Callithrix jacchus: one gene and its partner. The protein of the gene in region 2 binds, or shares a complex with, the protein of the main gene of each other region. Links are inferred from orthologs where the notes say so. Each region holds a gene or a part of one and is shown on either strand. Other genes may lie near its edges.

Region 1 (6,105 bases), on a different chromosome or scaffold from region 2:
TTTAAGAAAGGTGGAAGGAAAAAGGCAAGGAAGGACAGATAAGGGAAAGGGTGTAGATAATCAGTAATTTACCAGCTTTACCAGAGCACAACCAGCGCCTCGAAAAGCCAGTCTCCTCATTATGTCTGAAGGCCAAGTGAAGCCAATGGGAGAAGGAAGGGCTTTAGAAGTACTGATTCAGTGTTAGTATATTCAAAACTGAAAAAGAGAACAAAACAGAGAAGGGGGAAATAGAAAAGGGTCAGAAGGAGTAAAAACAAGTACGAATAGACAGAAAACATTCAAATAGAACTGTTAAAGGAAGATAGAGAATGGAGAAAACAGGCATATCAGTTCTCTTGTAACTTGCAAAGGCTCAGGCATTAACAGTACCTGACAGTTCTTCCATTTTAAAACCAAATGCTTTCATATGTTTAAAGATGTTTCATTGAGGTTCCTCTTTACTCACATTAGGAATGACTGTCAATTCCAGGAATGAAGCATGCCTGCCCAACTGCCCCCTAGTCAATAAGAGCAGAGTTCAATCACAGAGCTGGAATGGAGAGTGAATACATGTGGGAGGCTCACATGTGACACCAAGTGTTGGCAAGCTGGAACAAACCAAGAATGGCTCATGTGAGCAAAAGGTCTAGAAAACACCCACCCCTACAAAAAAAATTCAGAGAAAGAACATTTATTTCCAAAGTCCTAGCTGCACTGGAGATACCATATAAAAATTTGACAAGGTTTAAAAAAAAAAAGCCAACCATTTTGTCAGGAGTTCAAAATTACTTTTATAAATAATTCACTGAAAATCAAATGACAAAAGAAAACATAAATTACCACCATATGTATGTAGTTTAGATGATACAATATCCCAAAATCCGTGATTCATAAAGAAATTAAGGTAATCCCAGATACTTGAGAAAAATATTCAACTTAAGGATAATTTTTAAGTATTTTTTTAACCAAGGAATATTTTAAAATGTGTTTTGGAAGTCTGGCAAGAAGGGCAATGTTATGAAGTAGGAGAAACCACAGGACCTTTGCTCATATGACCAGAATAGGAGTCCCAAGTCTTTCACCTCTGATTATCAGCTTGATGTTGCCTGAGTGACAGCCTTTCAGATCTGTTTCTTCATCTCTAAAATGAGAACTTAATGCCAGGCATGGTGGCTCATACCTGTAATCCCAGCACTTTGGGAGGCCAAGGTCAGTGTATCACTTTGAGGCCAAGAGTTTGAGATCAGTCTAGCCAATGTGGTAAAACCCTATCTCTATTAAAAAAAAAAAAAATTAGCTGGGTAAATCCCAGCACTTTGGGAAGCTGAGACAGGTGGATTACCTGAGGTCAGGGGTTGAAGACCAGCCTGGCCAACATGGTGAAACCCTGTCTCTACAAAAAAAAAAAAAAAAAAAAATTAGCTGGGTGTGGTGGTACATGCCTGTAAACACAGCTACTCAGGAGGCTAAGGCACAAGAATCGCTTGAACCCAGGAGGCGGAGGTTGCAGTGAGCCGAGATCATACCACTGCAGTCCAGTCTGAGTGACAGAGCGAGAGACGGATTCAAACAAAAAGAATATCAAGTGTTCCTGTATCTCTCAGATCGTTGGAACAGTGAAATGATGTCCATGAAATCACTTCTGCATGTTCCCCAGGCACAGGAGCAGCATCTTGTTCATTTTTATAGCCCTGTCTTATAGAATAGTATTTAGTATAGATTAGGTGCTCAATTTATCTTTTAATTAATGTGTTAAAAGTGCACTTAGGACCAGGCACAGTGGCTCACGCCTGTAATCCCAGCAACTTAGGCCGAGGCCGGCAGATTACCTGAGGTCAGGAGTTCAAGACCAGCCTGACCAACACCGTGAGACCCCCGTCTCTACTAAAAATACAAAAAATTAGCCAGGCGAGGTAGTGCATGCCCATTAATCCCAGATACTTGAGAGCGTGAGGTGCAAGAATTGCTTGAACCCAGGAGGCAGAGGTTGCAGTGAGCAAGGATCACACCACTGCACTCCAGCCTGGGGGACAGAGTGAGACTCTGTCTCAAAAAAAAAAAAGGTGCACTTAAGTGGGACCTTTAAAAAAAGAAGTTTGTTTGTATAGTTTAAAAGGCCTGAGTCAGGCACAGGGGCTCATATCTGTAATCCCAGCACTTGGGGAGGCTGAAGCAGAAGGATCACTTAAGGCAGAGTTCAAGACCAGATTGGACAATACAGATTGACCTTGTTTCTACAAAAATAAAAATTAGCTGGGTGTGGTGCTGCACATCTGTAATCCTAGCTACTTGGGATGCCATCGTGGGAGGACTGCTTGAGTCTAGGAGTATATAAGGCTTCTGTGAGCCATGATCACTTTACTTGCATTCTAGCCTGGGCAACAAAGTGAGATCCTACCTCCAAAAAAAAAAAAAGTACTATAAGTATCGCTTTAGCAAATTTGTCTGTTTTTCCATGAAGAGGAAAGACAGATTTCAGAGTTCAATTCCAAGTTTTAAAACAGCCTTGATTATAGTCACAAGTTCAAAAATCTGACAATCAATAACTGATAGTGGACAGTTAAGAATACTTAATAATGTGCAACTGGGAGACTACTGACATTATAGACAAATGGTGTATTTTGACAGTTTATGAACTTTTAGCCCTTTCCTGTATTTCTAGAAATATTTAGCACTACAATACATGCTTAAAACAAAATCTTGGAAAACAGGACTCAAAGAAAAAAAAAAACAACTATAAACCTGTTTCAGAGAAAAAAAAACCATTCTTAATGTTGTCATTCACAATTTTTGGTATTTATCTATGCCTTAGTTACCTGTTATTATTTTACCGAAATGCTAACAAACCAAATGTATTATTCTACAGCCTGTGTTTTAACTTAATGAAGATTCTTCCAAGTCAACATTCTTCCTAATGATGTTTGATAGCTTGATACTAATCTATTATATAGCTATACCACAATGTACTTATCTTGGGAATTTTGGTAGGATATTAACATTTGAGGTATTTTGTACATTCCCAAAGCCAAAGAAAGCGGTCAAGCCCCTTCCATTCATCCACACACAAGCTCTTTATTGTTTTAATCTGAAACAACTCTTCAAAACATATTTTTCCAATCTTCCATTTTGAAGCTCAAAATTAAATATGGGCAACCTGTAAGTAATAAAGCAAAAATTACGCTACTCTTTCACGTGCACGAGTCCTATTTGCACTTTTTGAGGAAAAGCACATAGCCAAATGGGAGGAAAAAAAAAACCCTGAAATTATTTGTCGAGCGTCCTAGTGTGTCGGAAATTAAGTTAAAATGTTTTGCTCCAACACACGCTTCTATAATTGTAAGAATTTCTATATCCATTATACCGTGTACTTATTTTTCCAGATTTTTTTTCTCTGTTTTTGCAACTCTTTCTGCCCCTTTAAATTAAAACTTCTCCCTTATTATAACAAAACTGTGCTTCCCCAAACCAAGAAATACAGTTCCCAAAATCCCGGATTCTTTGCAGTGTTGAGATGAGAAGCTGAAATATCTGGCCTCTACTTATAAATACAAGTCCCATTGATCAAAATACCCGGAAAAAATAAAGAAAGAAAATCACTAAGAGTTTGTGTCGAACCGTCAAGAAACAATAACAAAAAAGCAGGCCCTGAGCAACCGAGGAAATGAAGGACTTTCCCGACCTGTCACTGGTATTGGGGACTGAGGGAAACGTTGACAGCTTTGAAGCTGCCCCGCGACGAGCGGGAAAGAGTGGCGCGGGGAGTTTCCGGGCCGTAGTACGCCTTTGTCCCTGCCGGCAGGTGCGACAGGGCTACCGTGCCCGTCCCGAGGTCCGCCGCCACGCCCCGCCCAACCCCGCGCGCCCGGCCCGACCGGCGCGTCTCCCCACGGCCGGGGCGGGGCCTCCGCCGCGGCTCCCGCCCGCCCGGGCCCACACAAAGGCCCGGCAGCTGGGCGAGGGGGAGCGGCCCCACCCGCCCAGGGCCCGGCCTTACCCAGCCGCTCCGCCGCCTGCAGCCCCGGCCGCGGTCACTGACCGCCGCGCCCCGCCCCGTGGCCGCCACGGCTGCTGCTATAGCTCCTCCGGCCGTGGCCGCTGCCGTCGCTCCGGCACCCGCCGCCCTCACCTCCCTTACCCCTCCCGGTGCCGCCGCAAAATCAGCCCCGCCGCCGCCAAGTGATCCCTGCTCCGCGCGACACTGCGTGCGCGCGCACGCAGAGAGGCGGTGACGCACTTTACGGCGGGAACGTACGTACGTGACCCTCGTCGGTGGCCTCAGTTCACACGTGGCGCCAGCGGAGGCAAGTTGTTGTCCTTGCGCCACTTTCTACAACCAACATGAAGCGGCCTAGTAAGTGGGATCAAAAGGCGGGCGTGGAGGGACCCATGTCTGGTAGTTGCTGCAGCCACTACGACACTCTTTTACGGCTTGGTCTCTGCGGGCATGGAGGTGGGAGCCTGCGCGTAGGCCTTGGCCCTGTTTTCTCGTAGAACCGATTTGGAAGGCCCTACGCCGATCCTAGGCGTGGGCTCATTCTGCAGAAGGAAGCCTGGCGGAGGGTGGGCAAGACTAGGCTAGATTTTCGGAAGGAAGCAGCGTTTAAGCTAGGTTTCAGGCCCAATATTTTTCCTTCCCTGGTCACGTGCATACCGGGCCAGGTGCACACATCGCCTCCCAGACTCTCTGTTCCTCTCTTGAATTCGTGCTGTTTTACACGAAGTGGCTGTCATTTTGGATCTCATACGCTGCTGTGTATGATCCCATTCTAATATTGTAACAGTAAGTGCAGAGAACTTGGACTCCATTCTGGATCTACTGAATCAGATTCTCTAGGATTTGAGAGTGGGCATGTATGTCTGTATTAGGCATTTCGCATTAGTCTTAACGTTAGCTTTGGCAGCCAATAACATTAAAAAAGGGTATAACTCCATAGTGCGTTCACCCAGAACTAATCATTTGCATTAACACATTTGTGATGTGATTATTTATTTTTTTTGTAGAGTTAAAGAAAGCCAGTAAACGCATGACCTGCCATAAGCGGTATAAAATCCAAAAAAAGGTAAGTGTAGTAGTTGGGAGAGCTATACCAAACACATTGCTAAACTGATTCATTTGCCCTATTCATTTGCAAAGGGAAAGTCTGGGTTAATATGATTTGGTTTCAGGAAATGGCATTGGATAGACTGATCATGGCAGCTCTTGGGCATCAGAAGTGTGGCTGTGAGAAAGAGCAGTGATTTGGTGATGAGTCTGTAAACTTGTTCAGCATGTTAATTTCCACATAGAGAGCCTTCTAATGATATTTTCTTGCTGTTTTATACTTAGGAATGCATTACTCTGTAAGATTCCAATTAAAGCCCCATTTTCCTAGGCTGTTTTATAGGCATAACTAAATTCCAGCTAGATTGGTTTCTCACTTGAATTCTGCTTAAGTATAAAGATATTTTTATAAGCAAACAAAATCTCTTTATTATTATAGGTTCGAGAACATCATCGAAAATTAAGGAAGGAGGCTAAAAAGCGGGGTCACAAGAAGCCTAGGAAAGACCCAGGAGTTCCAAACAGTGCTCCCTTTAAGGAGGCTCTTCTTAGGGAAGCTGAGCTAAGGAAACAGCAGGTAAGTTATGTTAGCCAGAACTTTCAGTGTAGTGTGTTATGTGTGATGTGTTTCAGAGTAAGGTAACAACACTAGTCACCGATTCACCTATGTCTCTTATGACTCCAACACAGCTTGAAGAACTACAACAGCAGCAGAAACTTGACAGGCAGAAAGAACTAGAAAAGAGAAGAAAACTTGAAACGAATCCTGATGTTAAGCCATCAAATGTGGAACCTATGGAAAAGGTATACTGATTAGATTTTTATGAATGAGAGATGAGGGGTTTTGATTTTGTTTTTGTTGCTTGGGCCTGACTGTAGTCACACAATGACAGCCCACTGCAACCTTGACCACCCACGCTCAAGCAGTCTTACCACCTCAGTCTCTGAGTAGCTGAGACTACAGGAGCACACAATCTAATTTTTTTTAGTAGACACAGGCTTTTGCCGTATTGGTATCAAACTCTTGAGCTCAGGTTATCCACACATCTCAGCCTCCCAAAGGCTCTGATATTACAGGTGTG
Region 2 (5,377 bases):
ACTTTGGGAGGCCGAGGTGGGCGGATCACTTGAGGTCGGGAGTTCGAGACCAGCCTGACCAACATGGAGAAACCTTGTCTCTACTAAAAATACAAAAAAACTAGCTGGGCATGGTGGCGCACGCGTATAATCCCTGCTACTTGGGAGGCTGAGGCAGGAAAAACACTTGAACCTGGGAGGCAGAGGTTACAGTGAACCAAGATCACACCACTGCGCTCCAGCCTGGGCGACAGAGCAAGACTCTGTCTCAAATCAAAACAAAACAGACAGTCCTAAGTGCTGTGAAGAAAATAGGAGAGGGGCCATGCATGGTGGCCCAAGCATATAGTCCCAGACTACTCAGGAGACCGTCAAGGGAGGATCTTTTGAGGCCAGTCCTGGCAACACACAGAGGCAGCAGAGAGCAGAGGGCTCAGCCACAGGTCTTTTCTCCATGCAGAACACTTGATGTATTGCCTGGGCCTTACAGAAACCTTGTCTCTACCAAAAAAAAAAAAAAAAATTAGCTGGACATGGTAGCGTGTGGACATGATAGTCCAAGCTACTCAGGAGGCTGGGGTGGAAGGGTCTCTTGAACCCAGGAGTTCAGGGCTTTAGTGAGTCATGATCATGCCATTGCACTCCAGTCTGGGTGACAGAGTGAGATCCTTTCTTCAAACGGGGGAGAAAATGGAGAGAAGGGTGTGGAAAGGCGCTGGTGAGAGGGGAGTTCTCCGGAGCCGGCACTTTGGCTTAGACCAGGATGCTAAGAAGAGGCTGGTCCTGCCAGGTGAGGGGAAGAACATTCTAGCAAGTGGTGGTGTTCAGGGCTCAGAGGCACAGGGCTTTATGAACATGATCGGGGATTGGGGTGCCCTCATTTCTCTAAAAGGAGGCAGAAGTCCTCAGAAGGGCTGGGCTCCGAGGCAGTGGCGAGTTCTCCATGCAACTGCCCACCCTGATCCTCGACTTCAAAGCTAAGGGCCAACAGTGAATGGGAAGGTGCACCATGGCCTCCTTGCCCCGTGGGGCACTGGACAGCAGTGAGGGATGACTCCAGCCCTACACTCTAATGGGAGGAGCTTTGCAGGCATACACAGAGGGAATGAAACTGGACCCCAGGGTCCATCCTATTCAGAACAGCCATACTTACTCAGGGGGAGCGAAGTCAAGATGGTGCTGCCTCAGTGGGGCAGGTGTAGGTGGGAGATCCTAGGGTACAGTCTGTTCTCTCTGGCTGGGTGCTGGCTTCCCAGGTGTCCACTTATGAAAAATCCCTGACTGCACATGCGGGGCCTGGGCCCTCTGGCTGTGAGTCATGTGCCGCAGGAGTCCTCTGGGGAGTGTGGGAGCAGCTGACTCAGCACTGCGCTCCCCGCAGGCTGCCCTGCTGCCTCACCATGTTGGCCCAGGGTGGAGTGCATCTGTGAATATGCTAGGCAGGGTTTTCTGAGAGGGGCAAGGTCTGTGAAGGGCATAGACTTTGGCTTAAGAGAGGGCTTAGGATTGCCTTAGCTGAACCCTGCTTGGCCAGTGTAGTCATGTAAGACCGATGGCAGCAGGAGTGAAGGGCAGAAAGGAAGGTCCCCGCCAGCATGGGGCACAGCGGGGATGGGATGAAGGTAAGGTGGGACTCAGGTGCTCCTGGGGCCACTTTGGGGCCTCTCGAGGGTGACCATGCTGGGCCCTGAAGCCAGAGCCCCTTGTGGCAGGCAGGAGGCCTGTGGGGTCAGCCCTGTTTTGGGGGTGAGGAACTGGAAGGACAAGGGCTACCTGCAGTTATCAGCTGGTGGATCCTGGTGGGCAGGGCACATCCCTGGTCTGGCAGGCTCCCCTACCCTTGTGGCCTCCCTGGGCTGGGGACAGTCCTGAAAGCTCTAACTTGTGTCCTTTGGTTGTTGCCTCAGCTGAACATCCATGTGGGAAACATTTCCCTGGTGGACCAGTTTGAGTGGGACATGTCAGAGAAGGAGAACTCACCGGAGAAGTTTGCCCTGAAGCTCTGCTCGGAGTTGGGGTTGGGTGGGGAGTTTGTCACCACCATCGCATACAGCATCCGGGGACAGCTGAGTTGGCATCAGAAGACCTACGCCTTCAGGTAGGATCATGCACGAGTCTCTCCTTCCCTCCCTCATCTCCCTGCAAAAGTGTTTTGAGAAGGACTTGTCTGTGTGAGTGGTGACGCCTTCGAGGCTTTCTCAAGCTTTGCAGCACCATCTTGCTGGGGTCTGTGTGTTTGCTCTGTCCTCCGTCACCCTGTGTGTCTCACCAGTACTCTGCTCTGCCAAGTAGGGTTGGAAGCACCTAACACAATAGCTGGCAAAGACTTGAAGCTCTGTCAGGGTGAATCTCAAGTCCTCACCTCCAGGGAGCCCTGGGCCCACCCTTGCCATCCACCATTCAGCCATCCTGCCTCACACCCTCTCTCTGCTCTTGCCCAGACTGTTATTTGGTCAGGATGGCCCCTGCCCAGGATTCTTCATCTGTTGAACTTGAATTCTATCTTAAACACAAAGGCCCGCCCCAGCTCTGGAGAGTCAGGGGTCCCCTAGCAGCTCCTTCTTACTGCAGTGTCTCTGCCTTCGGTCAGTCAGAGAGCATTTGGTGAGTACCATGCTGGACTGGACCCCATCCTGGCTGCCCTGGAAGATAGAGACAGGTCACCTTGATCCCTGCCTGTAGCATTTGGGCTGGCTGAGATGGTGGAGGTGCAGACAGAACATTCCAGTCCAGTGTCCTCTGTGCAAGGGTGGGGATGGACCCAGGGGAGGCCCTCCTGTTCCTGGTAGGAGGTAGGAGTCAGAGTTAAAAGCGAGGTCAAGGCCCACTGCGGTGACTCACACTTGCAATCCCAGCACTTTGGGGAGCTGAGGTGGATCTCCAGAACCCAGGAGTTTAAGACCAGCCTGGGAAACATGGTGAGACCCCATCTCTATATAAAAAATACCAGAATGAGCCAGGCATGTTGGCGCATGCCTGTAGTGTCAGCTACTCAGGAGGCTGAGGTGGGATCACCTGAGCTCAGTAGGTCGAGGCTGCGGTGAGCCAAGATCATGCCACTGCACTCAAGCCTGGGTAACAGGGTTGAGTCTTCAAAAAACAAAACAAAAGCAAAGCTGAGCTGTCCTGGCTCAGCAGGACTCCAGGACTGGGAAGCCCTGTGGTTCCTAACCCTGTCCTCTGTGTTGGGTTGGGGGTGCAGTGAGTATCCCTACATCAAAACAGGATGTTCAGATTTAGTCCGCTCATCAGACTATCATCATCCACATCTGCAGTCACCACGTAGGGATGACAGCTTAAAATGCTACACTGAGGAACAAATAGGAAGGTCTGTTTTGCAAAGCCATGGCAATTAATGGGGCTTATTGGGATTGCGTCTGGCTTGTTTTCCCAGACATCCCGAGAGACAGCTTTCTGTGACTTCCTGTAAATCTGAGCAAGGAAGAAGGAATGAGAGCCACCCACGAGGCTCAAGAGCCCTGGGCCTGAGAAACAGCTGGGCCCCTGCCTAAGCGCCAGTGGTTTTGAGATCCTGTGACCTGCCCCCAGCAGCCCTGCCAATCACATGGTTCTGTTTCACAGATAGGGCAGCCCTGAGAGGCGGCTGGGGGGCTGGTGTCTGATACCTCCCTCTTCCCTCTGGGTGCCGCCTGGGAATACAGCTTTAGTGTCCATTCACCCTGCATGGAGCCATGCCCTGTGGCCGGAGAGCCAGTAGGGTGGCCTCACTCCACGAGAGTTGACTCTGCGGTCCCGGGAGACAGTGATGTTGCCCACGTCGACACTGAGCACCTCCTCCCCCAGAGGCCGATCCAGTCGGAACCCTCATTCTGGGCTCGAAGGTGCGGGTGGCAGACTAGCAGCTCCCAGCATCCAGGCGCTGACGGTGTCGACCCTCACCCAGCCCTGCAGCTGCAGACAGTGCCCACAGTGTGGGCTCAGGAGCTGAATTCCCCAGGGCCTCTTGACAGGTCCTCAGAGCATTCTTTCCTTCAGCCACCATAGCACCATCCCTCCTGCTCTGAACTGAAGGTGCCCTGAGCCCAAATTCCTTGCCAAGCTCCAGGCCCTCTGCAGTTTGCAGAATGGCTTCAGAGCAGGTCCCTTGGGGAGTCCCTGGTGGTGGCAGGTCAGGACTTATAGGCAGATGCCCTCTTTATCTTAGCTACCACCTAATGAGTTCCAATTGTGGAGCTTGAAGACATCATAGACCCTGCCCGCTGTTGTCTCTCATGCTGATTGTGCAGTTTTCAAATCTTTGAGGTTGAAGGCAAGGCCACCCTGCTGAGACCAGGGTGAGCACATGTCCCCATCACAGCAGCCGGGTGGGAGGGGCTTGGGGACCTGGGAAGTGTCCTGAGTGGCCTCTTAGCATTAGGAGGGCTGCGTGTGTCTTCCCACTCCCCGCACTAGAAGACAGCTGCAAGGACAGGACAGGACAGGACAGGACCTTAGGGATGGGCTGGCTCATCCTTGACTCCAATCCACGTTCCCTCCACTGCACCACCCCACCCCATGGGATCTTAGGAGGGACTTTTTTTTTTAACTCTGTCCCCAGGGAGACGAGTGTCAGTCCTGCCTGGGGAAATGATGGGCCTCAGTTCCCTGGGCCAGGGGCCAGTCAGCCCACAGAGAGCTAGACCAGGAGTCCTGGCCTGGTCTCTGTGCCACGCACAAAGCTTGGCAACGGCTGTGTCACATGACTTCCCAAGTAGGGTTTTCAGCTAAAGGCCTAGGTGACCCCATAATGGAAGCACTCTTGATTGCCCAAGAGCCAAGCCAGTACCTCCGTCTCTCCCAGCCAGAGCCCAGTCCTGGCTGCCATACCCTCCTCCGCAATGGGGACACTGGATCCACAGCACAGTGGCGAGCTGCTGGCCATGGGACACGTGTGCTCAAGGCCACTATGCCCACGTCAGGGGAACCAGGGGAGAGAATAGGCTGCTCCCTTTGGCAGTGGGACAGACAGGAGACAAGCATGAATAGGAAACAGGGGCGTGTGACAAACTCACTCAGAAGCCCGAGGCTCCTAGAGGACAGACTGGGACCAGAATGACACAGACGCCCCAGAGCCAGTGGAATGGGATGGAGGGCCAGTGACAGGAGGAAGACGGCTTACAGGGAAGGAGCCTGGGCTAGGCGAAGCCTCTGAGGAGAGCTGCTCCTGTAGTTACTGGCACCTCCCCTGGGCCAACCCTGTGTTCCTGGCCAGGGACTAGAGGAGACAGGTTCATGTGCAGAGCCATCAGTGTGCCATCACCACAGAAAGCACTGGAGGCTGTGGGCATGAGAAAGGGCAGTGGGGGGCATAGAACTTGGGGTGAGGATAGCCAGGGCAGGTGCTGACGGGGGACTGCAGCAAGCAGGAAGGACCCAGGAGAGGCCAGGGACAGGCAGG

What was found. The genes of interacting proteins can lie anywhere in the genome.
Region 1: SMARCB1 (region 2) and PBRM1 share a complex: the UniProt entries of both Homo sapiens proteins name them as parts of the SWI/SNF-B (PBAF) chromatin remodeling complex. The link is inferred for Callithrix jacchus from reciprocal best matches to the Homo sapiens genes SMARCB1 and PBRM1.

The regions. Positions count from the first base shown.
Region 1 is NC_133516.1:35,226,014-35,232,118, forward strand, and holds the start of PBRM1 (protein polybromo-1), read right to left. Parts: upstream 4,142-6,105; 5' UTR 3,977-4,141; intron 3,837-3,976; exon of another isoform or gene 3,662-3,836; intron 591-3,661; exon of another isoform or gene 449-590; intron 199-448; 5' UTR 121-198; coding exon 73-120; intron 1-72. Other genes in the region: GNL3 (guanine nucleotide-binding protein-like 3), read left to right, coding at 4,321-4,333, 4,984-5,042, 5,463-5,600, 5,714-5,827. UniProt on the Homo sapiens protein: Involved in transcriptional activation and repression of select genes by chromatin remodeling (alteration of DNA-nucleosome topology). Required for the stability of the SWI/SNF chromatin remodeling complex SWI/SNF-B (PBAF).
Region 2 is NC_133502.1:192,662,513-192,667,889, reverse strand, and holds part of SMARCB1 (SWI/SNF-related matrix-associated actin-dependent regulator of chromatin subfamily B member 1), read left to right. Parts: intron 1-1,886; coding exon 1,887-2,077; intron 2,078-5,377.